Struthio camelus: one gene and its partners. The protein of the gene in region 4 purifies or fractionates together with the protein of the main gene of each other region. This does not show direct contact. Links are inferred from orthologs where the notes say so. Each region holds a gene or a part of one and is shown on either strand. Other genes may lie near its edges.

What was found.
Region 1: the proteins of LATS2 (region 4) and LIMD1 purify together in Homo sapiens (affinity purification with mass spectrometry; 3 studies listed by BioGRID and IntAct, with this or other methods). This does not show direct contact. The link is inferred for Struthio camelus from reciprocal best matches to the Homo sapiens genes LATS2 and LIMD1.
Region 2: the proteins of LATS2 (region 4) and MOB1A purify together in Homo sapiens (affinity purification with western blotting; 9 studies listed by BioGRID and IntAct, with this or other methods). This does not show direct contact. The link is inferred for Struthio camelus from reciprocal best matches to the Homo sapiens genes LATS2 and MOB1A.
Region 3: the proteins of LATS2 (region 4) and SAV1 purify together in Homo sapiens (affinity purification with western blotting; 4 studies listed by BioGRID, with this or other methods). This does not show direct contact. The link is inferred for Struthio camelus from reciprocal best matches to the Homo sapiens genes LATS2 and SAV1.

The regions. Positions count from the first base shown.
Region 1 is NC_090943.1:50,662,191-50,670,107, reverse strand, and holds the start of LIMD1 (LIM domain-containing protein 1), read left to right. Parts: upstream 1-4,911; 5' UTR 4,912-5,049; coding exon 5,050-6,418; intron 6,419-7,917. UniProt on the Homo sapiens protein: Adapter or scaffold protein which participates in the assembly of numerous protein complexes and is involved in several cellular processes such as cell fate determination, cytoskeletal organization, repression of gene transcription, cell-cell adhesion, cell differentiation, proliferation and migration.
Region 2 is NC_090968.1:1,088,366-1,095,873, forward strand, and holds the start of MOB1A (MOB kinase activator 1A), read right to left. Parts: upstream 3,002-7,508; 5' UTR 2,873-3,001; coding exon 2,859-2,872; intron 1-2,858. Other genes in the region: MTHFD2 (bifunctional methylenetetrahydrofolate dehydrogenase/cyclohydrolase, mitochondrial), read left to right, coding at 4,122-4,243, 6,914-7,098. UniProt on the Homo sapiens protein: Activator of LATS1/2 in the Hippo signaling pathway which plays a pivotal role in organ size control and tumor suppression by restricting proliferation and promoting apoptosis.
Region 3 is NC_090946.1:80,908,238-80,916,135, reverse strand, and holds the start of SAV1 (protein salvador homolog 1), read right to left. Parts: upstream 3,009-7,898; 5' UTR 2,803-3,008; coding exon 2,709-2,802; intron 982-2,708; coding exon 535-981; intron 1-534. Other genes in the region: NIN (ninein), read right to left, coding at 7,605-7,814. UniProt on the Homo sapiens protein: Regulator of STK3/MST2 and STK4/MST1 in the Hippo signaling pathway which plays a pivotal role in organ size control and tumor suppression by restricting proliferation and promoting apoptosis.
Region 4 is NC_090942.1:203,548,261-203,556,195, forward strand, and holds the start of LATS2 (serine/threonine-protein kinase LATS2), read left to right. Parts: upstream 1-4,927; 5' UTR 4,928-5,167; intron 5,168-7,935. UniProt on the Homo sapiens protein: Negative regulator of YAP1 in the Hippo signaling pathway that plays a pivotal role in organ size control and tumor suppression by restricting proliferation and promoting apoptosis.

The DNA of each region.
Region 1 (7,917 bases), on a different chromosome or scaffold from region 4:
TTCTTCACACAGCTGATTTTATCCTTTGGCATAGGAAGGAAATGTACTTTACATAGCTGGTGAAGGTCAGCAGTGTCAGAGCATAAATTCAGCAAGAACGCTGCTTCCTCCAGAGATGGAGAGCTCCTGCAGGTCCAATTGTAAATCAACTTACAGATGTTAGATTACAGATAAAAAGTACCAGCAGAAAATGTATGTATGACCCTTAAAAAAGAAAGTCAGAAAAGGCAATGATCTGAGCGAAGTCACAGATTCTTCCTTGTTTTGTTTTTGAAAGCTGAAAATAGATACATCTATTCCAAAATATTTCTGTCCCACCAAAGCGTTTGTTTCCTAGAGATCTGAAGAACCTCATCTTGGTATGTTTGCAGAAAAAAAAAAAAACAATAGATATTAGTTAAGTCTCTGGTACGCTGGATAGGAGCTTGCCTTGACTTCACATCCTTTGGTGAGAGGAGAAGGGAAAAGGTACGAGAGTGAGGTGTAACTTCCTTTTTGATGGCTCTTTGTCCTGCTTATATCACAGATTCCTCCTGTGGGTGAAGCAGTGGGATTTATGCTTCTACCCTATTTACCTGTTCTGGTTGCTTTTTGCAATTCTCTCAGTACACACACATATGGATTCAGTGAATCTGTTGTTCAGTACCACCTTTGTGGGTCTTAATTTTAACATTGGACTCTCCCCATTTTGAATGTAAGCAGTGCAACATTCACATACCCCCACTCCATGTAATACTCACGTTGCTGCTGGCGCTTGTTTTTAGCAGTGGCCCTTAAGATTGCTTCTAACTTCATTTCCAAAAGCACTTTGAAGCCAGTGTGACATCCCAGGAGCAGGAAGGAAAAAGTATTGAACTCCTGAATTGTTTGCTTGGATTGATAGCTCTGGAACCTGGGAATTTGCAGCTTTGCACCCGGACAGCCCTGGAGCCCACGGTAAAATGTTGTTGACAGTCTCATCCAAGTCTTGTGTCTGACCTCGTTCCTTGACCACAGATATCACAATTAGGAATTGCCTTCCTGACCCCAAATGGTGAAAAGGCAAATTCAGCAAGCTCTTCTGGGAGAAGCTGCTTTGAGAATCTGTGAAATTATCCTCTTTGACACTCAGTTATTGGATTATTTAAATCTCCTTTCCCAGCCCAGCCCTGAGGACAAGAAGAATTTACCATCATAAAGCGATCCAAACTCGATGCAAAGCCTGAGCTGAGGGAGGGTGCCACGTGCCAAAGTGAGCCACTCCGGGCTCAGGTTTCCAGTCATTTTAGCTCCCTTCTCCTGGCAGAAACAAGCCCTGCCCTGAGAGACATCTTCTTGGTTGTGTTTGAAATTTTTCATTCGCTGAAGCCAAATAAGGGAAGCAAACCCAACACTGCTCTTTGTTTGAGGTTTCTCTACCATGAAGGGCAAGAGACGCTGCAGGTTCTCGTGCCCGCCCCTATGGTCTCTTCGCACAAGCGGCTGCCTCTGCTGCTCGCGTGGCTCCTCTGCACTGGGCAGTCCCCATTTTTAAAACCTGCATTGCCTCGGCCTGTTAAAAGGAAGCCGGTTAGATCCTGAAACTCAGTTTAGGTTTTAGCTGCCCTAATTGAGCTCAGGCTCAGGCAGATTTGACTAAGTCCCTCAAAAGAGTTACTTTCCTAGGCAGTTGTGGGCTCAAGCCTGCACCTGCACGGTGCTAACTCGTGTGTCTGAAGTGTGCAGGAGGAAACCCCCGGCTGGCTGGCCGGCCGGCAAACGCAAACAGAAAGCAAGGCAAATGCAAGCAGAAAACAAACAAATACCGGCGTCTGAGTTGCCCCCGGTACCGGGAGCCCCCCGCTTGCCATAGCGGCTCTGCGCAATGCAGAGGCGAAAGTGCACCCGACCTGCTCCCCTCTCCCCCGGGTAGGAGGAAGAGTCATTCGTCCTCAGGCAATGCAGACGTGTGATTTCCACCCGCCTGGCCCGCCAGGGTCGAAACACAAGGCGAGCCCTCTCCCTCGCAGCCAAAAAGGCTCCCACGGTTGCTATGGGGAACGTGGCCAAAGCACAACGCAGCCTTTAGCAGAGATGATAGGAATAAAGGATTAGGCCACACGTTGATAGGGTTTTTTTTTTTTCCCTGACATATTCATTAGCGTTTCTGGTAAGGCAGTTTTCCCCTGTTCCTCGTCAGCTATTCTATGTGACACAATTGCATCCCGTGAAAAACATCGCTCTCAAGAGATCCGACTCCTCATTCTTTCGATGCTTAGTGACAGATTTTATCAGTTCACATTTTCGGTGCTGTCTTTTCCAGAAGGGAACATAACACCGGAAGGCACCTTTCGGTTTATTGAATCCAGTCCCTTGCTATACTTTTCTTCAGAAAAAGGAGACAGGCAACTTTTTTTTTCCCCCTTTTTGGCTTTTAAGTGAAATCCTCCTGCGCATATCCACCGACCGGGAGGGGAGGGGGAGCAGGGAGCTCTGTGTTTGCAGGACAGATGTCCAGACATGAGCGAAACGCCTCCCGAGCTGTCGCGGCTTGCGCAAAGCGGGGTTTAGCCTCGAGGCACCCAGATTCTTCAAAAGCAAAACGAGGCTTTGTTCCGCTCGGCCTGAGTAAGCCCCGCGCTTCACCTTCCTTCCCTCCCCCGCCCCCACGGAGGACCCAGTTTTAAAAAGGTTTGATGGACAGGATTATTTTCTCTATATGAAAACGCCAGCTTTGTAGATCACTTTAAAACTTGGCAGGCCCCAAAGTTCCCACACTGAGTAACTTGCAGCACGCTGGTGTTTACGGGCTGGTGGCAACCCCTTCTGGGGTCCAAAACCAGCCACCTCCCGGCATCAGCGGGGCTACGCTGCGTTTCAGCCGCGTATCGGACTGCCGGACCGGACCCGCTGTGCCCCAGCAGTCTGCCTCGGCACCGTACTCCTCCTGAGAAACAATAAAATCTCTTATCGTTTTTATGTTTGAATCAACTTTTGCAAGTCTAAAGGTTATCAGAGCTCAAATTCAAGCATCTGGCGGTCATAGAAATAAGATCTAACTCTTGTTTGGAGCCTGTGAATTCTTTTATAGAAGATATGCACCTTTTGCAAGGGTTTATAATGCTGCACTTTTTAAACACGTTAGGCTGAAACTTGCTGGAACAGTTGTACTATTTCAGATCTGGCAAACTGTCTCAGTTGCTAAGCAGTGTTTCTGTAAGGGAACTGTTAAAATAGGGAGGGGATTTTTTATTTCTGACACTTTTTGGTCACAGCCCAATTCGTGATTATTAAAGGGAACAAATTTGCACATTCCTTAACATCTGGCCGTATCTCCTGAACCCTGAGGGAGAATTGGAAAAAAAAAAAAAAATCTTGAGAACACATGTCTGGGCCTGTGTGATCAACTCTACCAGTTGCTTTAGTAAAAAGCACTGCAGCTCCCTCCAGCCCTTGCCTCTCTCTGGAGTCCTACAGCGACCCCATAAAGCAGGAGCCAGAAACCGAGACGTTTCTGCCTGCGGCACTGCACCACCGAGCACCCTGGCAGGTCTTGCACGGGAGCGCGGCTAGCTTTTCACAGCTTCAGCCTCGGTCTGCATTTCAACGCCTTCCGCACGTGCAGAAATCAGGGCGGCTGAGCCTGCGTTCACGCTCCTACAACTTTCTCACCAAGAACCTCAACTATTTCCCTAAGAGGCGAACCCCCCCCCCCCGACTTGATCGTCTCTGGTACAGAACTAGAGGCAGGTGATTACTCAGAGGAACATGGTGCAAGAATAGCAATTAACGTCGCTCAGTAGCTGGGCAGCGTTGTTCGGAGGAGACGAAACAAAACCTCGTCCTCGCTTGCGTCACCAGAGCCAGTTCCTGCCTTTTGGGCAAATTACGACTTTTGCGGTCGTAACATGACCCCGGTTCTGTTTAAATTCGGCTGTGCTATTTGCCCGGGCGGGCACACCGCCGCCGCTACCGAAACAAAACACCCTGCGTGCCCGCTGCCTGCCTTTCAATCTCTACGTTTGGACGCGCTGTCTATTTTATAGGTCTCTTTATTTTTACACATACCTGCTGCTGAGTTGAAGCGCGCACCCGCTCCGTGCACCTTATGGGAGGGCGTCAGAAGTGCAGCTGGCCGCTCCCCCACTCCCCCCAACGCCTGTTTGGCCGCCACACCCCCCCACCCCCACCCCATCCCCTCTCAAAATTATCTCTCCTGCTTTTTACCCTTTATATGATTCCTGCCATCCCTCCCTCACCGCACTGTCCCGGCCCTGTTGAGGCCTCCACGAACAGTAATACCGAGTGCAGGCTATTATCAGAAAGCAATCTCGGGCGGGGGGGGGGGGTGAAAAAAGGTTTAACCTCAAACACGACGCTTTTGTGATGGGGGGGGGGGGGTGGGTTTTGCCCCCTGCCCGCCAGGGCCCGGGTGCGCCGCCCCACCCAACGGCCGCCCCAACGGCCGCCCCAACGGCCGCCGCGCGCCGCGCCGCGCAGCGCCTCCCGCCGGCCCCGCCGCCAACACGTCGCAGGGCGGCGAAGGCGCTGCCGCCGCCGGGCTCCGCCTCCGCCTCCGCCCCCGGCCCCGCCGCCGCCACCGCCTGGGACGGCGCGGCGGCACGGCACGGCACGGCCCGGCCCGGCCCGGCACGGAGCGGGGCGCCTGGCCGCTGAGCACCGCCCGGTAAGTCCGCCACGACCCCGGCGCCGCGTTAGGCCCCGGCGGCGCTGCCGGTGCGGGCGGGGGGTGCCCGGCCCCAGCCCCAGCCCCGGTCCCGGGCGCGGCCCGGGCGCCAGGTGCCGCCTGTGCCCGTTGCGGCGCCACGTGCGGAGCCGCCTCCGCCGGCCGAGGGGAGAGGGGAACTTACCGCCGCCGCTCCTGATCCCGGCCCCGACGGCGCACAGCAGCTGCTGCTTTCTCTTCCTCTGGTTTTATTTTTTCTTCCTTTTCTCCCTCCCCCCCCCCCCGGTCTCCCCCTGGGCCAGGAGCCCGCGGCAATGCTGTGGCAGGCGTGAGGGCCCTGCCGGGCGGGCGGGCATCGGCCTGGCGTTTGGGGACGGCAGGGAGGCACGCACCAGCCGGCGGCCATGGATAAGTACGACGACCTGGGCCTGGAGGCCAGCAAGTTCATCGAAGACCTCAACATGTACGAAGCCTCCAAAGACGGTCTCTTTCGGGTGGACAGAGCCCCCGGCAACAACCCCGAGTTTGAGGAGACCAGGCGGGTTTTTGCCACTAAAATGGCCAAAATCCACCTCCAGCAACAGCAGCAGCAGCAGCAAGAGGAGCTGCTGATGGCCGCCTCGGGCTCCCTCAACGGCGGGGCCGGTTTCGGTGCCCCGCGGCCGAGCGTGCCGGGGCCCCGGGGTGGGCAACAGGGCGGCCGGGCCCAGGCGGGAGGCAGCGTGGCCAAGCCGCCCCTGGCCTGCGCTGCGGCCGGCCCCCCGCACCCTTTGGCTTTCCCCAGCCAGCCCACAAACCCGGCTGGGTACGGCTGCGGGGAGAGCGTCCCGGGGGCACACGGGTGCCACGGGGTAACCCCCAGGCCCTCCCCACCTGCCTCTTTTGGGGGCTGCCCTGCCCCAGGGAGCCCGGCTGCGCTCCAGGGCTGGGACGGGGATCCAGACGGGTTTGCCGTGCCCAGACCTGCTGTGGGGAATTGGCGGCCAAACATCAGTCCCAGCGATCAGGTGCTCCGGAGCCCCACGAAAGCCCACGGTGAGCCCCGGCTGCACCAGCACCGGTCTTCAGAGGGGAGCTGGGAAAACAGGAATGAAGGCCAGAGGAGCGGCCAGGGCCAAGAGCACAAACCAGCGGGGCAGAGGTCCTCCTCCTTCTCGCACACGCGAGGCCCCCTGGCCTCCTCTGCCGGGTTTGAGGAGGGGGTGCAAGTGGGTCTCCCTCAGCAGCGGTCATCATCCTTCTCAGCCCCATCCACGCCACCCGCCCCGGGCTTTTCAGGCCTCTCCGACCCGCGTGGCCCGAGTGCCGGAGTGGATATCCCAGCCACAGACAAAACTAGGGATGGTGGCCAGCGGTGGTACCACGACAGTCCTCCATCCTTTTCTCCTGGCTCAGCCCCAGTGCCTGTGCCCCCAAGCGTGGACTATCAGCAAGCCAGCGCTTATCCCAGTGCCGCCGGCCACTTTGTCGCCCACGGGCAAAATCACAGGCCCAACAGCAGTGGTGCAAACCCTCAGCAGAGCACCTCCAACGCGGCTTCACGCGGGCCAGTGACTTTGGATGCTCCCAAGACACCTTTCAGAGAGGGCCTAAGCACTCTGCAGTCTGACTCTGGACACCAGGAAAACTCCGGGGCGACGAAAGTAAAACTACCCTGCCAGACCCTCCTTCCACCACAGGAGCAAGGGCCGTCTGCCGCTGAATTAAAATTAGAAGCACTCACCCAGCGTCTGGAGCAGGAGATGGATGCTCGTCCAAAGGCCGATTACTTTGGTAAGTGTCATTGCAGAAAGGTGTAATTAAAAATTGTTATGAGTATGGTTCATGACTATGTATTGCAGGATTCACACCTTCAGGGCTGCGTTTCCCTGGTACTTTTATTTGGTTATCCTTTTTCAGTTACTCGCATGTTTTTATTCAAGATATTTGAATAGGAAGATGGCTTTCTAGACTGCTGAAGAATTGGATGGTGTCAAACCCTACATAAGGACCTACGGACTGGAGAGCGCGGTTCAGCTCAGAGGAAGCTGTGGTGGACTTCGCTTGACAGGAAACGCCCCAGAGCCTGTCGTAGTTGAACATACGGCACATTCCACATGTGGCAGGTGTAATGAAAATGCTGTCGTGACCAGGGTTCTGTGACTTGCATAGAAATTGCAGCTTGAGTAGGTTCTGAGGACCTAACCATGTGCGGTTGTGAATTTTCTTAAAAAGGTGTTGACTGAGGATGTAAAGGTTGTTCTTTTTTCAAACTGACGTGGATTTTCTCCCCCCACCCCAAGAGTCAGTTCCCGTCAAGCCTGAGCGGGTGAGTGGATCCTGAATACTTCCAGAAAACAGGCAATAGATACGCTCCGCTCTAAATCTCAGGTCCGCAAGTAATCCTGACCAGCACCAGATGTTAACGCTGGTAATTTATGATGAAAAGTGCCTGCTTACGTGGGAGGATATCTGAATGAGAAAATTAAATGCCCTGCTGGCTTTAACTGATTTAGTGTCACAGAATGGCAAAAAGTCGATGGCGAATGGGGTGTTTTCTTTCCTTGTCTCTCGTGGCCACTTTGTACTGTAACAGCAGCGGAGATAGTTCAGCCGTTCAGTTTTCCGGGAAAAGGAAACCTGGTGTTGCTTTTGCTAGGAAGGATGAGAATTCCGCTGTTAATTTAAATAATGGCAGGAGCAGGTCTAGTATATGTTTTCCTCATGATTTTAGATCTGTAGTCACAAAACTAGAAGCAGGAATAGATTAAGCTCTTCAGCCTAAGGTAGAGAAACTGTTTGCATCTCAGACTGCATAGGTCCCATTGCATATAGTCCCTTTGCTTCCTGTCTGCTGTGATTGCCAAGTAAGCCAGCGGTGGTCTGCACATACACCAGTGACCCTTAGAAACTGCTGCTGCCTTGAACTTTACATTATGCTTCACTAATGTAGTTGAAGGGACCTCTAAGTAATTAGTTGCAAATTCCGTAGTAAAATATGTTTCCGACCGCCTCTGTAGTTGTGATATTCCCCTGCAGATGGCTTTGCTGTGATTACTTAGCTTAACATTTGAGATTGAATTTAGCCTTGTAACAGGGCAGATACGGTTTTACTTACTGCTGAACAGTGACCTGAGAAGTTGCTTTATTTGGATCATTTCAGCCTGGGAATGTGGTTTGATGCTTTATGTACTACGCAGGGAGCATGCAGCTTGAATGAGCTCAGAGAACCTCAGCCCAAGAGATGCTGCACTCTTTTGAAAAGGAGCTGATTAGGAACATGAGTTTGGGGA
Region 2 (7,508 bases), on a different chromosome or scaffold from region 4:
ACTCAGTGGAAACACGCTTATCTGGCACACGCAGCTCAGCATCGCTGGCACCCTGCCTCAAAGTCGCACGCAACTGGACGCGCTTGGCTCACACGTGCCTCGTGCAAGCTTCTTGATGCAACGCTACCGCGGGACTGACAGCACTTCAGCGGAGCGCAGAGTGGGTGAAGCTATCTGTTTGGTGCAGAAATAAAGGGCCTTCACACCCAACTCGCTCTAAACCAAGCTACTGCCTCCTGCTACGCTACAGTAGATGCAGACCCAGCATGTAATTGACCCTGCACAAAGGCTCCCCAGCCCCTTCTCGCGCCACAGGTCACCAACTCCTTCTCACACGCGGCACCCAAGAGCTAGGAGCTACAAACATGCATACCTGTAACACCCTACCCTCTGTAGCTCATCAAAGACACATTTAAAACATCAAAGTCAAGCAGTCTCTCTGTTTGCACGCACTTCCTCCAAATCATTTGCCACAGCTCAACTTCAGCCCACGTATCAGAACAGGCATGTCCTGCCCCATCAACCCAGAGAGCCTCAGCCCGCCTGGCATACTCCTGCCTGTCCTACGGCATGTCTCCTAGCTTGCCGACACCACGCTCTCATATCCAGACATCGGTCCTCTGCACCAGTGGCCAGCTCCAGCCTGCTAGGCTATCACCTCCCCACCCCAAACAAACATATAAGATACACCAAAGTCTGCCAGCTTAATGCCTTTCCCAACTGCAATCAGGCTGCCCCACATCCCATCAGCACAGCCCCTCGTGCAAATACGGACACTGAGGGCACAAGCCCTTTCCGCTGCAGCAGCTCTTTTCCACACGCATACAGCAAGGCCCACCCAAATCCCACCCAGAAGGAAGCCCCACAGAGCAAGGGCCTCCCCTCCTCTTTTCTGCCTCATCCCACTCTTTCCATGCTCGGAATCACCACCTTGAACCGCTCCTCCACACGCTGGAAAACCCTCTCCCACGTCCCATGGCCTCCACCCATCCATCCCAAGGGCTTCCCCAAGAGACAGGCCCTACTCCAGTCACCCCAGGGCTTCTCCTTCCCCTCTCGCAAGCCTTCCGCCACAGCACGTCACCCCATTTGCCCCAAAGGCCCTCCCCATGCACAAATTCCTAGAGCCTCCCACTACTGGGAATCATCCCTGCAGACACTCAGCAATTACAACCCTGATGCAGCCCCCCCCCCCTATCTGCAGGGCCTCATCTCTCCCCTGTAAGACCAATCCCCTCAAATTCTCCCCAAGAGGGAGGGACTAGTCCTTGCAATACACCCCCTTTCCAGGGCCTCCCTCACCACAAAGGCTCCTCCCCCCATAGGCTGGCAGGGTATTCACCCTACTTGGGTGCTCCCCAGGGCTGCCTGCCTCACCCACCGCCCCAAAGTCAGCTCCCTTCCCCAGCCTATCCCAGGACTTTGGCTCTAGGAGACACCCTCTGCCACAGCCTTCCAGCCTGAAACTGGGAGCTGGTCTTAGAAGTAGGTGCAAAAACATATACGCTGCCAGGGCCTCCTCTGGCTTCCTCCATAGGACTGCACTCTTCCCCACCACCCCTAGAGCCTTTCCCAAAGCCTTCCTCAACCCCCTCACCTTCCATCCCCACGGTCTCCCCATAAGGCCTTCCTCAGCCCCCCTCCTTATACCCGCAAAGCCTCCACCTCGAGGTCTCCCTTCAGCGCTTTCTCCTCCATACATCCCCAAGGCCTCCCCGCCAAACACCCAAACCCTTCCTCCAGCCCCCCACTAACCCTCGAGTCTTCTGCCCAAAACATTTCTCAAGGCCCTCACATGCACCCAGAACTTCCTCCTAATGCCTTCCTTAAAAACTCTCTATACGCTGCTACGGCCTTGCCTCGAGGCCCTTGTACACACACAGGGCTGCCCCCTAAACCCTCTCTGAAGGCCCCTCCCCTGCATTGCCAGGGCCTCCCCACAAGGCCTTCCTCCAGCCCCTGTCTCATTTCTAGGGCCTCCCCCTCCCCAACACCCCACATCTCACCACAAGGCCTCTCAGAGACTCCCCCCGCACCCCCAGGGCCTCCCCTCACTCCCCGAGGCCTCTCAGAGAACCCCCCCGCGCACCCCCACGGCCTCCCCTCACCCCCCGAGGCCTCTCAGAGACCCCCCCGCGCACCCCCAGGGCCTCCTCTCACCCCCCGAGGCCTCTCAGAGACCCCCCCCCGCACCCCCAGGGCCTCCTCTCACCCCCCGAGGCCTCTCAGAGACCCCCCCCCGCACCCCCAGGGCCTCCTCTCACCCCCCGAGGCCTCTCAGAGAACCCCCCCGCGCACCCCTACGGCCTCCCCTCACCCCCCGAGGCCTCTCAGAGAACCCCCCCGCGCACCCCCACGGCCTCCCCTCACCCCCCGAGGCCTCTCAGAGACCCCCCCGCGCACCCCCACGGCCTCCCCTCACCCCCCGAGGCCTCTCAGAGACCCCCCCCCGCACCCCCAGGGCCTCCTCTCACCCCCCGAGGCCTCTCAGAGAACCCCCCCGCGCACCCCCACGGCCTCCCCTCACCCCCCGAGGCCTCTCAGAGACCCCCCCGCGCACCCCCACGGCCTCCCCTCACCCCCCGAGGCCTCTCAGAGACCCCCCCCCGCACCCCCAGGGCCTCCTCTCACCCCCCGAGGCCTCTCAGAGACCCCCCCCGCGCACCCCTACGGCCTCCCCTCACCCCCCGAGGCCTCTCAGAGACCCCCCCCGCGCACCCCCAGGGCCTCCCCTCACCCCCCGAGGCCTCTCAGAGACCCCCCCCGCGCACCCCCACGGCCTCCCCTCACCCCCCGAGGCCTCTCAGAGACCCCCCCCCGCGCACCCCCACGGCCTCCCCCGCGGCCCCGGCACTCACAAGAGGAAGCTCATGGCGAGGCGCCGGGCCGGGCCGGGCCGGGCTGAGGCGAGGCGGCGCCGCCGGCTGCAGGCGCGCGGGCCCCAGCTGCTGGCGGGCCGCGCCCGGCCGCTCGTCCCTACTCTCGCGAGAGCACCGCGAGACTGAGCGGGGGTTGGGGAGGGGGGAGCGCCGCGGCAGGGGGCGGGGCCTCGACGCCGGAGGTGGGGGGGGGTGGAGCCCTCACCATGGCAACCGCCCCGCCCGGACAGTGGCGCTTGCAGGACCCTATGGGGCCAGGCCTCCCCATGGGCCTTAGAGCCCTGTACGGGCCCGGGATGCCCGTATGGGGCTAGGCCCCCCTGTGGGGCTAGGATCCCCAATATGGGGCTAGGACCCCCCCATATAGGACTAGGCCCCCTGTACGGGCTTAGGACCTCCCCTATGGGCCTAGAACCCCTGTCTGAGGCCCTCCATATAGGACTAGGCTCCCCTATGGGCTTGGCCCCCCCCATGGGACTAGGCCACTCCTATAAGCTTGGGACCCCCATATAGGACTGAGCTCCCGTACGGGCTGGGTTATGCTCCTGTGTGGGCCTGGGGCTCCCCTATAGGACTGGGACCCCCCCCCATCTAGGAGTGAAGCCCACTATGGGTCTGCAGCTCCCACAGGGTCCTGGGACCCCCGATAGGAGACTGGGCTGCCCATGCATCTGGGTCCCCCTATGGGTCTAGGACCCCCCCCAAAGGCTTGGGCAGCCCTATAGGACTGAGACCCCCCACCATGGTCTTGGGGCCCCGCCCAAAAGCCTCCCCCCCCCCCCGCCATGGGCCTGGGCAACCCCACAGCCTTGCGGGCCACTGAAGCGCCCCTCTGCCAGCCCGTGGCTTACGCAACCCCCAGCCCCTATTGCAAACTCCCTCCCCGCCTCCGGCCCAGCCAATCAGCGCCGCCGTGCCCATCTACGGAGCACAAGCCCCGCCCGCCACCACCAATCAAACACGGCCGGCTCCTCTCGCCCGGCCCACCCCGTCCCCCCAGCACCTCTCTCCCTCGGACCCAATCGCAGCGGAAGAGCCCGGGCTCCGTCCCGCCCCCTCCCTCGCCGCCGCCAATCATCTCTCACCTTCTCCTCGCCGCTCGCCTCGCCGCGGCGATTGGCTGCCGCCGGCCGCGGGGCCGACGGCGGCGCTATATAAAGCCATCCTCGGCTCGGCGGGGGTCCTCGCGCATCCCTTGTGGCGTGTCCCTTGTCGCCTGCCGTCGTCGCGCCGGGGAGAGCCATGGCAACCGCGCTGGGCCCGCTCCGCGCCCTGGGCCGCGCCGCGCAGGGCTCCGGTGGCGGCGGCGGCGGCCGCCTCCACCTGCTGCCGCGGAGCCGCCGTCTGCACCTCACGGCGCCCAGGTAGGCGGCAGGGAGCGCCCCACAGGGGCGGGGGGCTTATTTAGGGATGGGAGGGGCTTATCGGCTGGGAGGCGGGGCTTACCGGCGGCGGGGGGGGGGGGGGGCGGTGGCACCGGGCCCGGTTTCCCCCCCCCCCCTTCCTCCCGCCGTCGCCACGCCGGTTGCGGTACCGGCGCGGGGGCCCGGTGTGGGTTGAGGGGTGGGGGGGGGGGGAAGGTCCAGCCCGCTGCCCCCCACCAGGGCTGCGAGAGCCCCCCCGTCCCCGGGCCGCCGGTACCGGGAATGAATGAGGCAGGGCCCCCAGCGGCCGCCCCGGGAGGTGCAGGCTGATGAAATCCCACTCCTGCCTTGCGTGTGGAGCCCGGGCTGCTCCCCTGCCCCGGGGCAGCCTCCACCCCCCCCCCCCCCCCGAGAGGAGCCCCCCAGGGCAGCGGGGCCCTCCCGACCTTACTGGCAGCACTGGGCAGTGCCGAGGCCTCGCTATCTCTGGGCCAGGAGGAGCCCCCCGTGCAGTGCTGCCCCCCTTGCGGAGGGCTCGGGGCCTCCTCAGGGCAGGAGGAGCACTGATCCCTGTTTTCAGTGGTGCCAGGGGACTGGAGGGACCCTCTTAGTGTGTCCCCTCAGTGCCCCTGACTGCTATGACTTTGTGCAAGAAACCCAAACGAATTTACTTTCTCCTTCTCTTTAGCTATCACCTGAGCAGTAATACACCGCGAGGCTAAAACAGCTTGCCCCAATGCCATAAAAACCCCCTTTGGGAGAGCGGCTGCTTCCACTTTGAATTTTTTTGCTGTTTCATGCTTTGAGTTCTTACTTTGTCAACCTCGGACTTCCCGACAGACCTCAAAGCTGGTGAGCCTCAGGCTGGCGCCTGATGTGTCTCCCTTTCCCCTCTTGGCCAAGGCTGGCACCCCTAGCCTCTAGGGTTATGCAGCCAGGATATTCTGGTAAATTCTTGTTTCAATTTGTCTTTGGACTGGTAAAGTAAGTGTTGGAAGTGGGGCTGAAAGCTTGATTTTTGAACTTGCCTTTTGTGCTGATAGTAGCTTGCCAGGTGCCTGTAGTAATTCCTTTTGCTTAGTGCAGGTTTAGCTCTGAAGCTAAAACAAGCTTTAAAAAGGCTCAGCAGGCTAAGCTAGTCCGAGATGGATTTTTCTCAGTGGTTACTGCTAGCTAGATCTGACTTGGATGATTCCCTTTAGCAATGAGCTATGATTCAGTAATGGGAAAGCTACCTATATGAATAGCTCTGGGATTAAGAAGAAGCAAAAGATCCCCTACACCTCCGACAAAGCATTTTGGCAATAAGGCTTTCTCACCTGGGTTGGTACCTTCTGCGAGTTGAGTAGCTTCTGAGGCTTGTGTAGCTGTGAAGCGCTTTGCGGGGCGACTGCTTCAGAAACTGGCTGGTTCTTGTGATTCAGGAAGGTGCCGAAAGTGTCCCTCGCGTGATGCTGCGTGGAGCATCTTTGCCTGCTTCGAGTGAGGGGACTAACTGAGGGTCCTGTCTTGGCCAGTGAAAATCATCCAGCAAGTGAGCAAGGAGCTTGTAGCGAGGCCTTGCATGAAAGCAAGGCTCAAATGCTGTAGCTGAGTCCAGAAGTGACACTTGGGAAGGTGAATCCCGTCACAGAGGAACTAGTGAATGAGCATGACTTTCAGATTGAAGTGAGAACCTGAAGAAAAAGGAAAGCAAACAGTTAGTATATAGCCAGCTGGCAGTGAGGCCTGGCAGCCGTGTCCTCAGCTGTATTTTGAGCAAGCCTTTATGTACTGCAGGGTATCCAGTTGCCTGGAATGTACTTGGCAAGAACCATATATATTCCTGTTACCAATTTAGCCTAGAAATGCTTGCAAGGAGCTGTTCCTGTGTGGTTCAAACAGCAGGCAAATGTGTCCTCCCTACTCTGGCAGAAAGTTGGCGTCTTAAAGCCTTGCAGGGGGTAAAACCAAGTATCCTCAGTATGGCTTTACCTGTCTGAAAAGACTACTGCAACGGTGGAAGCCCCCCTTTAAAAAGGGAGGGCACAAGACTGGTGTGTGCAAGGTACGTGCTGTGCTAGGTGGGCTGAGATCCTTGTCAAGGGATTTGTGGGAGATGGGGATCTCTGGCAACAGCGCTGTGTGCAGAAGTACAGTGTGCAGCACCTCCTGTGCTGTGTCAAACAAGCTAGTTACTCAATAGACCTCTCTAGTGGAAACTCCACTTGGTGGAATGAGTTCTGCTTTACGCAAGTCCTTTGTAGTGAAGCTGTCGTGCCTTTGAAAGGGACGGATGACTGACCTTCTAAAAAAGGAAACTAGTAGTATCTGACTTGATGTGCTGGACAAGAGTCTGGACTCTTGCCCTTCCAGAGAAGAGTAGTCTGCGGGCTTTCTGAGGTTGCACAATGAGTTGGTCCTTGCAACAGTTTTACTGTTGTCCGGTATCAAGGTTTCAGGCAGCAAAGCTGTAAACTAGAAGATTGAAATGTGCTGCTTACCTGGTGTTTTCTGCAAATCATGTCTTGCACTACAGTTGCAGCAGACCTGTGTGTGTGGCTGAAGTGAAAGGGCTGTTTCTGTAATGCCTTGTGGTGGGCACCTGTTTCCTGGGTGGTTGTTGCCCAAAGCTAGAATTTGATGCTCCTAACAGTGCTGACTGCTTCATTAACACTCTGTTTATTGCAGCAATGATGCAGTTGTAATTTCTGGAAGGAAGCTGGCCCGGCAGATCAGACAGGAAGCCCGTCATGAGGTGGAACAGTGGGTAGCGGCTGGAAACAAGAGACCTCACCTCAGTGTTGTTCTTGTTGGTGAAAATCCTGCAAGCCACTCCTATGTACTGAACAAAACCAAAGCAGCTGCTGACGTAGGTAGGTCTTGTACTCTGCTGTTCTCCAAAAATGGAGCAAGTGACTGTTTAATATCTTGCTTTAGTTGGGAGCCCTCTATGCTGGGGGGAAGCTTTCAGGATGCGGCTATCTGGCAGCTTTTCACCAGTCTGGGGTTTACCCCAGCAGTTGCTGTTACTTTTTGGCTGCTTTCATAGTAATACTGGGGTGTAGTTAATGTGAAAATGCAACATCAAGCTATGTATTGTGAATTGGCAGGCCTCTCGGGTCCACACAGGACAGCCTGCAGGGAACTTTGAGCAGTTGAAAGAAGGCAAAAATCAAAATGCAGTTGACATCCAGTGCACTCCTGCTACTTTGTTGTGACTCCTTCCAGTCTTGCAAGCCAAGATCCTGTTCCTTAGGCTGCCTGAGGTGTCCTAAGTATGCTT
Region 3 (7,898 bases), on a different chromosome or scaffold from region 4:
TACTAATGAATAAAATCCTTGTTTCCTAGCAATGCAAGAGTGAAAACACAATTTCCACAATATTACATGCAAATACAGATAAAGTTATCTAAATCAACAGTATGCCTCAGAATATTACTCTGTCAATAACAAGAAAAACCATCCACAACAATTCATAACCTGTTCACTCTTACTTGTTAAAGGCAACGAATCTAATAAACATTTACACAACTTTTGACAAAGCTGGTGATATCTAATATTGGTCATTAAAAAAAAACTTGCTCAAGCTTACCTCTTTTATTTTATAAATAGCCCACTGTTTGAATATATTTTTCCTTTCTCCTTAATACACGTGATCTAGCTCTTTATTCTAAGAAATGTAAACAAGTAGTAAAGTCAAACAACAGAAACATCATTAAAAAGAAGCTCCAGCCTGTACAGTATTACATTTAAAATATACGACCACGAGCATCCAGAAGCACTTCTGCAGCCACTCTCAAGAAGACAAAAGAAAAGAAAAGAAAAGAAGAGAAAGAAAAATAAATCAATACTTACCTGAAGTGTGCCTCCCATGATTCTGTGACATCCTCTGGAAAAGATCACTGTTTTGTTCATAATACCTGTAGTCCTCATGTACGCGATCATTTAACTGACGCCTCCTTTGGGCATCATAAAAATGATCATAATAATAACAACGGGCACCAGCATCTCCATTTTCCATAGCAGAATTAGCTTCTGTTAAAAAGGATTGGGAGGAAGAGCCATATTCTCTAGGGACATCAGCTAAACTTCTTGCAAGATAGGAAGGTGCCGACAGTCTGTTGCTTTCACGTCTCATTATTTCATGAGGTGGCCTCTGAACTGGAGTTCTAAGGAAACTCTGGTTTCTGGAAACAATTCCATCTCCTCCAGAAGCATATACAGAAGAACTTGAGTCAGGAGGACAGATATCAGTTCGTCTTGGAATGGTTGGACCATGACGGATAAATGAAGGCATCAGATCTGTTTCAGGATAAAACCGAAATAAGAATTTCAGCTCCACTTGCACAAAATATCTGGTTAGCTGCAACACTGATTTACGCTATGATATTCAGGAAATTCAAAAGCCAGAACCCCTTTACAGCGCCTCTAATGCAGAGGCGAGTACAGTTGTAACGCTGCAGTTTGTATTGGTACAACAAAACCCATCACGCTCTCCTCTAGCAACGGAAACAATCCCCCAAAGAGCACAGTTTTGCCAGTACAACTGCATCTGCAAAAAATAAACTAGTCACACACTTTTGCCTGTGGCTACATCAGCCAGGCTTCACACCTCTTTATCTACTAGAAACATCAAGAAAATCTAACTCTCCTGGCTACCAGTCTACCACCTTATTGGGACCGCTGTCTTTATGAACGTTGAGTAACTGAATACATCAATGCTTACATGCTTATAGGACTCCATGACAGAGCCAGGAACAAAATTTGTATATTTTCCACATATAACAAAGCTTAATCAGCAAAACGTTGTCATTTTGCACGTGTAAGTTCTCAAATTAACACGAAGATACCTCATTTTTCTCCTTTATTTAAAGGGACACAAACACTGATAACTATTCAAGCAATTTCACTGCTTCCCTCCAGTATATGATATACTCCTTGTTATTACTTTCAGCACGGCGTGAATAAGTAGTTTTCCTGCAGGTGAGCTAACACAAACTACAAGCTTCGTTTATGAGCAAGCCATGCCTATCATTTACTATTTATAAGCAAACTCTTATAAACGTATAACTTAAAGCAAAATTTCAGTGCATCGCGCAAGGTGTAATCAGTAATTTTGTAACAGTCGTTACAACGCAGTCATGTAATAGCTGGTCATTAATTCACAGCAAATAGCATAAGCGCGTAGAAGGGGTTGACCCATTAGAAACACCAAAAACCTAAAACAAAAAAGAAAGAAAGAAAGAAAGAAAAAAAGAAAAGTAGTTCTTTTTTTAAAGCCTAAGCCTGTGAGGCTGCTAAACGATTTTGCCTGTTGGTTGGGGAGCGGGTTGTTTGTGCAGCAAGGACTTCCAGAGAAGCCGAGCGCCTGCCTGCTCCTGCCTGCCGCTCAGCTGTTAGTCGCGGCCTCAAAGCTAACCTAATCCTACCATTACAGCACGATGCGCTTCAGTCTCAGTTTGTTTTCAATACTTTCTACGCGCTTCCGCTATTCTCCTGTAAAACCCTAGCAAGAAGGAAGCCGCAGCATTAACGCCAGGTTAACGGGATGAAGACTAGCGCGGCCGAGGTATGTAGGAGTGACCTCACCACGTCGGTTCACCGTTAAAACCGGAGCACTCGCTTCCGCAGGGATTTTACGCGACTGGCGTGGACAGTTACCTCATGTTCAAGGCGCACACCTTTTGGCAGCCGACACAGCCTGGCCTGGGAAAAACACTGACTTTTGGAAAGAGCTGAACTGCCCCGTTCACCTCAGGGAGATCTGTCTGCGGATGATCTTAGCCCTGGCCTCTTGAGACTGAAAAAAGTTGGGACTGAAAAGCTTAAAGAAAAAGTTTGTTTACTGTGTGGGTACGCCTCTCTCTCAGGTTTAACCTCGGTCAGGTCTCGCTACCAACGGGGCGATTTTTTTCCCCGTTTATGAGGAAAACGCCTCAAAACAGCCCCTAGGATCCGCCGGGCCGCAGGCAGGCTGCGGTGGCGAGCAAAGGGCCGCCCCCACCCCCGCCGCCGCCCCCGACACTCACTGCGAAGCAGCGGGCTCGTCTCCTTCTTCACGTACTTGCCCTGCACCTCGCCCGGCTTGGAGAGCTCCGTGCGCGTCTTCTTCCGCGACAGCATCCCACCTCCCGGCCCGCCACCGCCACCGGGGCCGCGCCCGCATGCCCGGCGCCGCCCGCCGCTCCTCAGGGCTCGGCGGCCCCCCTCAGGCGCGGCGGCCGTTGCTCGGTGCCCGCATGGCCGCGCGCCGCCGCCGCCGTCAAAGGGGAGGGGAGGGGGAGGGGCGCTCAGCGCCGCGGGGCGGCGGCGGCTCGCGCCGCCCGTTGGGCCGTGGCGGTGGGGGGGGGGGAAGGGGGCGGGGTGCGGCTGGGGTTGGGGGGGGGGGAGTCCGCGAGGAGCCGCGCGCGCACGCGCGTCGCTAACGTGCCCCGCTCGGCGGCGCCGCGCGCGCGCGCGCGCGGGCTTGTGGGAAAGCGGCCTCCGCCCTCCCGGCGCGGTGCGGGGGGGAAGCTGGTGCTGTCACCGCGCCCCCGCGCGGCGGGGAAGGGGCGCATGCGCAGCGCTGGCGGCGGAGGCGGGAAGGGCGCGCGCCGCCGCCTCCACCCCCCCCCCCAACCACCTCAGAGCCGCTCCCTCAGGGGCGGCTGCCGCCAGAGAGCCGCCCTCTGCTTGCCACAGGTATCACCTCCCTGCCCCTCGCATCAGTTACCAAACAAACATTAATTTTAGTTAAATGAAGGGAAAACTGAGTGCCTCCTGTGTTACACCCATAAAGGCAAAGAACGGGTATGCGACTGCTGTTGTTCTTAAAAAGCTGGTGCGATAGTGAACCTACCTCTTACACCGCCCACTTTTTATTTTATACTTTAAGGCAGCGAGGAACTACCGTCCTTTCTGTTACTACACTTTACTCATGTACATACTTAAGAATTTTCAGATAGCATGTGAAATACCTACAATTTCCATGGGTAGATAAATTGGATTAAACCAAAAAAACAAGCAGTGAGCATACAGAAATTTATTCTTTTTACATTCATAAATAATGTACAAGTTGTTTTACCTTTGCTTTACATGATGTTATAAGGACAGTATATTACACTGAAACAAAACAAACCTGATAAGGAAAAAAATATACAATTGTTTTTTCTTTATACACAAGTCATTTGTCAGCAATGACAGTGAGAACAGGAGACTGTAACAGGTAAAACCTGGGAGACAACACAGCACAGTTATAACAGTGATGTCATTTGTTGAAAGCAAAATAAAGGCTTTTAGTGTTCTTTGATAGAGCCAAACCATCCCCTTCTGCAGCTCACATGTAATCTGTAAATGGCTAAAATCAAATACGTTACAATCCCTTTTTCAAACAGAATTCAAATAATTTAGTTTTCTTTGAATTTAAATGAATATTTGTGAATGTGTGGCAATGTATGCTTTTATACCATTCTAAATTGACAAGTAGTACTTCAGCTGTGTAGATTTAATTCACAAAAATTTGACTCAGTCATATACTTCCTCTTCCCTCTCTCAGAAATCTCAGCCACAAACATCTATGTGCCTCTATTTTCACAGTGATTCATAAAGCAAGAGTTAAAAACATTTAAAACACCTTTTGGTAACACAGTAGTTAATATCTTAATTGTCAAGATCTGTTGCGTGAACAACGCTTAGGAATTCAATAATTTTTGACTGCATGTTATGATACTGTTAAATACTTTAGTATCTTTAAAATCCCTACACTGCATAGGAGACACTCGTGCATGGAAGATCACAAATGCTTAAGAGTTTACATGTTTATATGCTTATTTTCACTAGCTTAGACTTTGTAACACTTGCTGCTTAACTTCTGAGCTGACGTACTCAACCAATATACAACACAACACTTGTTTGTAAGCAGCGCTACCTTTGTCTGAATTCACTCCATTTGGGAAAGGATTGTCCTGAATTGTTCTGTAGCAACAGAAAGTACAGTACAGAAAGAGTCTAGAATATGTAATTATAGAAGGCACTTTTGAGAATTGACACAAATATTCTACTGAAATTGGAGTCTGTCTAAATAAAATATTTACCAAACATTCTCTTCCTCCTCCATCCTCCTCCTCCTGTTCTCTTCCGTGGTTAGTTTAGTTTTTTAAAGCTAAGTGAAAGAAAAGTAGGGCAAAAGAGCATGGGTTGAGAAAGGGAGAAGTCGAATTCCCTTTTCTCAGTTTCTCCTTACTGTTCCAGTATTATCATTGTATCTGGGCTCCCTTTTTGGCACTGTGTTTTCGAAACGTCTGTATGTTTGGTTAAAAACACCATAAGTACCAGGAGATTAAAAATTAGGTGAGTGAGTAGTCTAGCCTTTAAAATGAGTTATTTCAAAATAATTCCACAGGAGTTTAAATACATACTCATTCCCTCTGTTCAGTTTTCACACTTTGGTCACATACTGAGCCCTAGAAGTAAACCTAGGTCAAGATGTGAAATAGCTTTAAACAGTACTATCTAATAATGTTTTTCCAAGTATAATTCTGATCATCTGAACATCAGCTGCAGTGCTGCCTGGAAATATTCTTAAGCATCGCTAATTTTCTTAGCCTAGGCATGGTTTTAATATTGCTAACATACAGGCTGGGTACCTACACAGTGTTTTTTTTTCTTTTTAGTAAGTGATACTGTTTATTGATTACTATGAGAAACAAAATGTTCCTGCTTCAAAATTGAAAAAGAAGCTCCAATTTATCTCAATACAATTTTGAATTTTTAAAAGCTTTTGCGGACTGAAAAATGGGGTATGTAAATCTCAGAATTTGAGATTACTCAGAAAAACGGTCAGTACAGGTATTTAGAATAAGACAGTTATGAAATAATGTATAAAGATTATGTTACTCCAAGGTATTTTTCCATTATTGTTTTGATAAATCTTTCATTTTTTGAAAAAGATATACTCCTGTATACTCACTGTGACCTTTCAACAACAACAAATTGCACAGATTCTTCATAATTATTTTTACATGTGTCTTTATGCTCCATTCTTGCATGCAGGTGTAAGAAAAAAACCTGATATATCTTACATTCTTTTTTTAATAGGCCTTATATTGCTTGCATAAAGGAAGGGAAGAGGAAGGGGGAAGGAGAAGAGGAGGTCATACTCCATATGTATATTTCAGTCCCTTAACCCTCCAATTAGCAGGTAACTGTTTAGACATAGATAGCATCCCCTAGAGCCACACACTAATCAGTACCAAATGACCAATTTTCTGCAGGTGACTCAACAGCTCATAGGCAGTCTTATCCCAGTTTCTAGGGGGCAGCTGGCTCATTACAAATGCTGTCATAATTGTCACCTTGCACTAGTGGTTTCAGAGACAAAGCATTTTACCCTCTTCCTCTGCATACACTATTTATGCAGAATATATTTAAAGAGGACCAGTTTCAAGTAAGGCCAATATGGCTCCTTTCACCAGTTTTATTTACACTGTTTAAAAATCTCTTACTGCCCTGACAGGGGCAAGGAGCCCGTATAGGGAACGACAGCATCTTTATTTAGACTGCAGCAATGGGTTATACAAGCGTACAAGCTCTCATTCAGCTGTTTATGTCAGACCTATCTCAAATCTTGAAGCTGTTCCCAGAAAATTTGTATTCCCTAGCCTCATAAATTGGTCTGATAGGAGATACTACTTGTCGTTACAAAACCTTGCTGCTCCTTGACCATCATGACTACACCATTAGTGCGTGTTTGTCTAGGAGTATCATCAGGTAATATTCAACCAAATACAATTTGGTTTATCCTGCTTTTCCTAACGCATGTTTATTTTCATCTACTGACATTAATATCCATGTTTGTAATAGTGCAGGAAACTAGTTGAGGCTGTTATTCCCTGAGTTTTTCATATTCACCTTGAATGTGTTTCCTCACAATTAATTACAAACTTAGATTCTGTATTAGCATCTATTGGAAACAACAGGCCTTATTCAAATGATCACTCAAGTCAAACAGAACACTGCATGAACGGCAGAGGTCCCGCTCTGGCAGCCCTAATGACAGGATTCCACTGAAGAAATCATTTAGGTCTCCCTCTTCATTCTTCTGTGAGTTGTTTATTAAACATACTCCACTGCTTTAATGAGTTTACAAGTTGTATAAACACAACTCATGTCTTCACTTCTGTTTGGTGATTCTTCCATTGTTTAGTGTAACTTATTTCCACACACAGAAAATTTAAGGCCTCTACAGTTTTAAGTTGTCTGGCAGTGCAGCTTGAAAAAAAAAATAGTAATCTTTCATTTACCAGCTGGGAAGTTTCTTCAGATGAAATGCTGTCATGTTTAGTTGGAGGCAGTAGTCTATGTACATATTTTTAAGAAAACACTTTTTCTGAGCTCTGCTGAGGAACAGCCATGATGAACCAGAAGCCTAATGCATGAGGTGCAGCATATTGCTTTAGAGAAAGCAGAATTAGTTTGCAGGATATGGACAGCATCAAGGAAGTCTGGCTTTCAGTAACAATTATGCTGACAGTGCTCAAGACTGATCTATCAATATTACTAGGTTTGAACCATGAAGTAGCCTAGATAGCCAGAAATATTTTTTCAGTTTTGAATTCATTAAGTTTGCTTTAGACCCTGGCTTCAATCTAGATTGGTACAGTAAATTCAGAATGTATATTTTAAAATAAAAAAGTATCAGAATAAGTTAACCCGTCTTTTTTTTTTTTTTTAATACATATTGAACACTAGTTTTAGTCAAAATTTAGGAGAAAAATAGTTTGGGAATAAACAGAAATTGGCAGTGTCCTGTTTAGGATTTAGCTCTGCCATCTCCTTGGAGGAGTTTTTAACGAAAAATCCATCAGTTCAAAAAGGCAAAACAGTGAAGAGCTGAAATATTAACATTTCAGTAAAGTGCATGGGACTGTGGCATACTTACGGCTTTGCTATGACCTTAACTCAGATGCTGAATTAAAAGAGGGGGATGCCAGGTTCTTTACTATTTTATTGAGGTTAGCAATCTTTTCTTCTAATAAATAGTTTTTCTTTTCAGCAGTTTTCTGCCGCTGTTCTGTCATCTCCAAAGCCTTCAGCAGTTGTGCATTCTCAACATAGAGATCCTTGACCATTGCATCTGCTTTAGTATTCTTCGAAAGCTGAATTGTGAGTAAAATGTGAGGCAAATGACGGTAGGCGACACGTTAGTCTTGTGGCAAGTGAGAACTGCTTATAGCATATAT
Region 4 (7,935 bases):
CAACGGGCCGGGCTGCCACCCCCTCCCCCAGTCATTGATATGAAATGCTCTGGCAGAGTATCACCCTTCTGAAGCCTTGGGTGGCTCCACAACACTGTCTCTGTATGGTTGCAAAATGACCTGAAATGCTTTCACTCATGCGTGTTTGTGCGTGTGCGTGTGTGTGTGTGTGGGTGGGTGTGTGCCAGGAGGAAAGCGTATAGCCTCCACAAGCTACACACATGGCTCATTCCTCTCCACAAGCTCTCTGGTGCTCCTTTCCCACCCCTACTACCCCAGGAGCGTGCTAGCCCCAAACTCACACTTCCATACCAGGGGCTCTGCGTGTTCCTTCGTACTTTGTTCGCCGGAGCATTGGAGAAGTAAAGCGACTAATTTTTTCTCTCAGTAAAGGGGCTCTTCACAGGTCCCTCATTTTTCTCAGCTCTTTGCTTCCCCCATGCAGGCTTTACGTAGCTACCTTTGTCCTCTCCAGGTGCAGACCCTTGTTTTCTGCCCCAAGCCAAGGGTTCAGCTGTGCTCCCATTCCTCCCCCACCTTTTCTTTCTGTCTGGAAGATGAATCATTCTGGGTGTCTGTGGCAGGAAGGGCAAAGCTGTGCTGGGGGTATTGTTATGCTGGAAGATGCTGACAGCTACTGTGCCAGGCCTTTGATGAACAGATAATTACAGACCAGATTGATGGTTGCTGCATGTCCTCCTCTGGTACCAGGACTTCATGTGCTCTCCATTCCTCACTTCTTATTTTCTCCAGGATCAGAGGGTTGCTGCCCCTAAAAATGCCTAAAAACATTTCCTAAAATTTTGGAATTGATTGGATGTGGTGCTCAAAGCATTTGGCACTATATGTGAACAAAGATATGATACCATCAAGCCAACGGTAGGGCCTTGAAAACTTGGCCAGTTCCTTCGCAAACAGATAGTACAGCTGGCTTCTGTTGGTTAAATACCACACAAAATCACGACGTTCCTTCAGCCCTCTCAGGCGCTGCTTGGGCTCCTGCTGAAGTCAATGATTGACAAGAAGTGTGGGGCTGGGAGCAGAGTACATAGGAACATGGGTCCTTGGGAAATCCAGTGTTTTCAACTTTCTGAGTGAAGACTATAATGGCAGCCTGAGCCTCCAAAATGCCTTTCCCAGTACAGTGAGCCTGGGTTCATGCTTTGTCTGCAAAGTGGAGTCAACTTCAAGGTCAGATTTGTCCTATTTCATCTGCTTTGTGCTGAAATCAAAGGTAGTTCTAAAGTACCAGTGCTTACATTCTCTTCACCTTTGTCATCCAAACAGAGCATCACGATGGATCTCATAGAAATAGTCCTGATATAAAAAGCACAGCTAAATCAAAGTTAGAATTTAGTTATTTGTATTTTCACCCATCCAGTTACTGAACCATCGAGCCTGACTTTGACTGGCACGAGTGTCACTTTACATCACTGTTGAGCATACGTTACATTCACACGCCTAGGTTAAGTTTCCTATACTCCACCGGAGAACTGAAAATCAGAACTCCTGTTTTTAACTGGTTTTGCATTGGAGATTCGGGAAGAATAATTGCCCAGTATCAGTAAACAAAATAGATGTTTTTAAAACAAGAATATTTCCTTGCTTACCTAAGTCTTCTTTCCTTGCACATCATTCATTTCATAAACCAGTGGTTTGTTCTAGACATGTTCTCATAGTGAAGGATGTCACTGTCTGCAAAATTGTTTGTGTGTGTGCTTGTGTGCTTATACACACATATGCTCACATGTTCATAATCCTTTTATGTATGTGTGTGTGTGTGTGTGTGTGTGTGTGTGTGTGTGTGTGTGTGTGTGTGTGTTTCCTCTATGAAAAAAGACAGGCAGAGGATTAGACATCGTGGGTGATATTCTTGCTTTATCTTTCTTTTTCAAGTTTTCTGAATGGTTTCAAAGTAGCTTCTTGACTACTAGTACTGTGCAAAGAAAAAGTTCATCCACCCACTTCACAATTATTTGGTTGCTAGGAGTATTTTTAGCAGCACGATTTGGTAATTGGTTCAAAATATAATAGTTTAGAAAGAGTCACACTGTGGCCCAGCTAATGGTGATATAAGAGTACGGGGAGGGGAAAAAGCTACTCACTGCATTAGATGTGAGGGGATGGAAGTGAGTTGCACAGAGCTCCTGCTTCTCTCGCTGTCTCAGGTGGGTGGAAAGAGAAGGAACGTGAAACCCTGGAGCCTTGGTCCCTCCCACTGTACCCACATAGCAGGGCAGACAGCTGCTCAGGCAAGTTAAGAGGTGAATGCTATAATCATCATAGATCCAGCAGAGTCACTCACTTGAGCAGAGCCATGGATAGAAACACTGCCCCTTACTCATGGTAGATTATTATCTCATGGTCTAGTCTGCTCATACAGACAAACGGTATTGTTCTTTTTATGTAGCATCTTTCCTTCCGGCAATATCTGACTGTGTAGAACATAGTCAGGAGGAAAGACTTGAATGGTACACAGTAATCTCCAAATACTTACAGAGATCTAATCATGTTTTAACGGAGAAGTTGAATCATGTTACAACTTCCATTCCTGTAGTATTTTTGAGGAAGATGATTTCTAACAGTTTGGGTTTCTCAAGGCTAACAGCAGAAAGTCTGAAGAGGCTGCCAGTCTGCGGTGGACCAGCCTAATATGGGTACTTTCTAGAGAGCAGATGCAAGCCATCTCTCTTGTACCTGTGGCTCTGCTGCCCAGATCCAGACCCAGCAGCTCTGGCCAACACATGGAATGCAGAAAGTGGAGCTGGATCCGAGGGGGGGAAAGCAGTCCAGCTGAGTTTCATTTCCAGATGGACTGGTATGCAAAAGGAAAACAAATAGGTTTGAAGGAGAAAAATAAAAGATCTCTTTTACCTAGATTTAATAATGCAGATGACTGCCACATCTTAAGAAAGGACATATTAGCACACAGTAAGCATTTTTTATCTTGATGCTGTTCCTTTAAGGCAGCCTGAACTTTATTGGGAAAAGGTCTTAAGCCATTGAGCAATCCCTGGTTTGGGCAATCACGTTGCTATACTTCATCAGTTAAGTATAGCAGTAATTCAGAAAATGAAGCCATGCCGCATCTGTCATATCATTTAAAATTTACTTCAGTTCTGCAGGTATTTGAGGATTGCAAAATGAGCCACTTTACCCTGCACTAGTCTGTCAGCATTGGAATCTGCTCTGAACCTAATGGGTTTCTTTAGCTCCCTAGAGTTGGAGGTTTCCTTCCTCCTCCCCCTGGAACATATTCCAGTCAATGACACTATTGAAATTCTGACAGTAATTTATATACAGTAAGCGGCTGACCTCAGATGAGACACTGAACAATTCCTGTGCACCAGGCGGCATTTTTCTCATGAAATAACGGCAGTTTATTTGCAGTCACTTACCATTAATCCCCCTCTCCTCCCAGACCAGCGTCATTTATAAGCACTATTGACAGTTTGCGTGATGGAAATTAAAGAAAAAAAAAAAGATGACAAACAAGCTTAAAGAAATAGCCTTAGACAGGACCGTAGATGAGTAACATTACTCACAAAAATAGTGCCCTTGGCTTTGAAGAGGCTGTAAATATAGCTCCCATCCTAGAAAGACAGTTATGCGCAGACTTTTCTTTATATACCCCCACAGTCCTGTTCAAGACAGTGGGACTCGTCACATGATTAAAGACGACCGTGGGTCTTCAGCACTTGCGGGACTGACATTTCCCCTCATACTGTCGACAACTTTCCCTGCCAAGCGGCTCTTGCCGTGGCTCAGACACAGTTCCTCCTCACAGCTCTGTACCAGAATTTCAAGCATTTTCAAGTTTCATTTCAGGACTGCAGGCTTCTTCCACGTTAATGGTCTGAAGACACACATTTATGTATATATTTACTTTCTCATTGTTCTTAATTTGTATTCGTATCCTCTGGTTGTTGCTAGTGTCGGGGTCTGTGACACTGAGGGGCCAGAATCAACCTCCTTCCCGGATCGAAACATGGCTATGTTGAGGGGGACAGAGACAGGGACACCGATCTCTGGTTGATAATCGGTCTTTACGAGGGACCAAAGAGAGCTCTAACATCAAAACACCCCTGCTTTCATGAAAAACAGGCTCAGCTCCAGGCTGCTGTATCCGTAACGAGGTCCGACGCAAGCTTTGCGACCAAAAATCCCGACCGAATTGCGACTGAATTTTTGATCCAGAAGCGAGCTGCCTGGCTGTCCCGCTACTACTGCTCTGGCACCTCGCAGCACCCTTGATCCTCGTGATGACAACAATAAATACCCGAGTAGAAATAAACAACCTCCCCCAAAGAACTCAAACCAGGAAAAAAACTCAAAAAATCCCAAACAGGCACTGATTTCGAGCTAAACTCACCCCCCCCCAGTAAAAAAAAAAAAAACAAAGCGGCAGGAACACGTAAGGAATAACAGCAACTATAATTCTCATTTTAAAACTCTCCGTTAATAGGAGTCGTGGGAGTCCCCTAAGCCGAGGGGACCTTCTTCACCCCCTTCCTAAACCGTCCCAGCGCCATTCCCACCCCTGCGGCCCCGAGGTGCGGGAGGGCGGGGGAAGGCGGTTGGGGCAAGGCAGGGCCGGTTCGTCGGACGGGAGCAGCGGGGAAGAAGATGGCGGGGGGGGGGGGGAGAAGATGGCGGGGGGGGGGGAGAGGGAGGGCAGTGAGGTGGGAAGGGGGGAGTTGAGAGGGAAGAAAGCGCCACGAGCTGTCTTTAAACGCAGGGAAGGGCGGCCCTCGGGGGGCGGGGAGGGGGGGGAAGCGGAGGGCGGAGGGGGGGTCCCCCCCCTCCGCCCTCCGCTTCCCCCCCCTCCCCGCCCCCCGAGGGCCGCCACAGCCCTAACGGCCCTTCCCGCCCTGCCGCCTCGAAGCCCCTCCCCCCGCTGGTATGTGCCGGGAGGGGCGGTGGCGGTGGGGAGGGGGGGGGAGTGGAATGACGCGGGCGCCCCGGGGTCACGTGACGCGAATGGAATGCTAACAATGTAGCGAATGTCCCAACTGTGCCCTGCACTCGGCGCCCGCCACGGCCGAGGGGGAGAAGATGGAGACCGGCCCGCGCCGTCGGGCCCGCGGCGCCCGCCGCCGCGCCGCTCCCTGACGGACCCACCACCACCACCGCTACCCCGGCGGGCGGCGCGGGGCACCCCGAGGTGGTGAGCGAGCGAAAGCGCGGCTTCCTTCCCCCCCCCCCCCCCAACCCGGGGCTTCTCCCCCACCGCCGGTCACCGTCGGGACGGGGTTGTTGGGGGGGGGGGGGAAAGTTGGAAGGGGCCAAAAGAGCGGCCGCCAGAGGGTCGGGCGCGTCGGCCGGCGGCGGGGCCGGTGCCGGGGCTCGGCTGGCTGCGGCGGGTGCCCGGGGCAGCCTCCCTCGGCGCCCTGCCCGCGCCCTCCGACGTGTTTGCGGCCCGAGCGGGCAGCCGTGTGACAGCGCCTCGCCCGGAGGCCTCGGGCGGCACCGCGAGGGAGGCAGCCGGGCCGGGGCCGGGTGGCCGCGGCCGTGCTGATGCGGGGAGGTTTCAGCGGGGTGCTCGGCGCTGCTGGTGCCGGCCCCGCCGTCGAGGGTGTCCCGGCCGGGTTGGAGCCGCCGAAGCGCCGGGGGGAGCCCCGCGCCGCTGCCCCCGGCCGCTGCCAGGCAGCTGAAGGTCGCCGCCAAAATTCAGGTGGCTCCCGAGCGGGGTGGGTGTGTTGATGCAAGCGCGTACCCGCTGAAAGGCACTTGCGCGAATGACGCAAAAAAAAAAAAAAGGCCAAAAACAAACAGTAGCAAAAAACCCCCACCCAGCCCCGTAGTGTCCAGGTGGTGCGAGGGGTCACTCCGCTCCGCTGCGGCCGGCGAGCCCCCGCCCGTAGCGCCGGCTTGGGCCGGGGCTCGTGGTTGCCCCGGGACGCAGGCGCGGAGTTACTTTTGGGCAGTTTCGTTAGCAGGGGGAAAGGAGAGGTTTGGGAAAAAACTGGGGGATTTTTTTTGGTTTTTTGTTTTTTTCCAGTTCTCCTCACCGCTTTTGGTGTGCAAAGGGGAGCGTGGTTTGTACGGGGGTGAAATGCCAGGAACCCCCCGCCCCTGTGAGTCCTGGACCTTTTAGTACAAAGCAGGCAGTTCCCCTTTCCATAAGTTTGTAATGCAGAAAAAAAGAAAAAAAAAACAATAGCTTTAATTTTAGAGAGAGAAGGTTATTGTGGCAATTTCTTCAAACTTCATTCTTTCCTTCTGCAATGCTAGTTCACCTGACCGCAGTGCCTGCAGGGTTTTATAGGCTTGGAAGCAGGTTGCCAGTTTGGGGTTTGTGACTTTGCTCTCGAAACGCAGCTGAAGCTTTAGTTTGTTTTGCGTTTCCCAGTTCCGCGGAGCCACTGGCACGTGAAGCCAGTTGGTGAATGAAGGAAGCGGAGGGAGAATAGCTAGCGGGCTGAGACGAGACTTCAGCATTTCACTTCTGTGTGGTTGGTTGTTTACTGGCAGAGCAGCTATTAGTATTTCTCAACTGAAGAAGAAAAATCACTTATTCAAAAATCATTTTAACTTGGTGTAGTTAAAGTAATGTTACATTTATTTGAAATGAATCTTAAAAGAGTAATGGTCAAGCTTCTAGTTCGTGCAGAGTATATCGTGCTTCAGGGAGGGGAAAAAAACCCTACTGTTTAGTCAGAATAGCTTGAAGCTCAAAAACAATTCTGAAAAATCATTTCTCGTGATGGCAGAAGGGCTATTGGTGGTACATCCATGTGGTAGGCAAGGTGAAGATTAGAAGGATACGAAGTTATCCAAATCCAGATGTACAGTCAGAAATGCTTAGGCAGAATTAGATACTCTCTCTCTATTTTTTTTTAAGCATAAAAGCCTCTTTATTTTTTTCTGAAAATACAAATCACAGGAAAATTTTTAAAAAGCAGGCAGCTTGTCTTTCTCTGTAAATCATCTCTAATGCCTAAATGTTCCAATTTCTTACGTGTTTAGTTAAAAAACCCTTCTGCAAAATATAAAACACATTTACAGTTAGCTGCGGTACTTAACTGCTGTTGCTGGTCTCATTCATGCTGCCTAAACAATCAGCATTACATTTACAACACTGCTAAACCCGAAAGAAAGCTGCAGAAGCTTCCAGCTGGCCTGACCTAGCATTATTAGACTCAAGCTTAGGCTAAGGGTCACAAAAGTTGTTTATGTGAAGTGTGTGTGTAGGTGGGAAACCAGTCCTTTGCTGTAAAAATGTGGGGGGATTGCAGGCTTCTCCAGCACATCCCTGGCCTGAGCATTGGCACAGGGTCTGAAGAGAGGAAGAAAACCCAGATCCCTAAACCCAGCCATGTGGTGCTTGCTGCTGTCAGGAGAGGAAAGACGGTTATAGACCAGTTAATTGCTCTGTATCATTTAATTAGTAGCTAGTTAAGATGTATTCCTAGAAAGGCTGCAATGCTATTGATTAGCGATACCGTTTTTTTAAACATTCTTTTATTAAAGCTGTGTACTAGCTGCTGCTATATCCTGTCTAGGTGGACAAAATTCTGCACTTGGGATTCTTCAGTTCCCCTGATCTTCACTGAGAGCCATGAACACATAGCTGATTTATTGCTTGCGGAAATACCAAAATACAGATGAACAGCTTTAACACTTTCCTTAAAACAAAGGACAAACCTTGTCAAAGATGCTTGTGGACACGTGTGCCGCTTTTAGTCTGTATGAGTTAGGTTTGCAGGATACCCTTAGAGAATAGCAAGTGGAAGAGCTCACTACCTCACAGATATCCTTTAGATAAGCTTCAGAGCGCTTAAACATGAGGAAAAGAAATTCATATGGGTGTCCTGTGTCACACACATTCTCAGTCTCAGCAGGTTGATGCTATAGGGCTTTGCTGTAGAGCTCTACTACTCTACAGAAATTTCCCATAAAAGGGGTGTATGGCATGCTTTCTAACGGTATGTA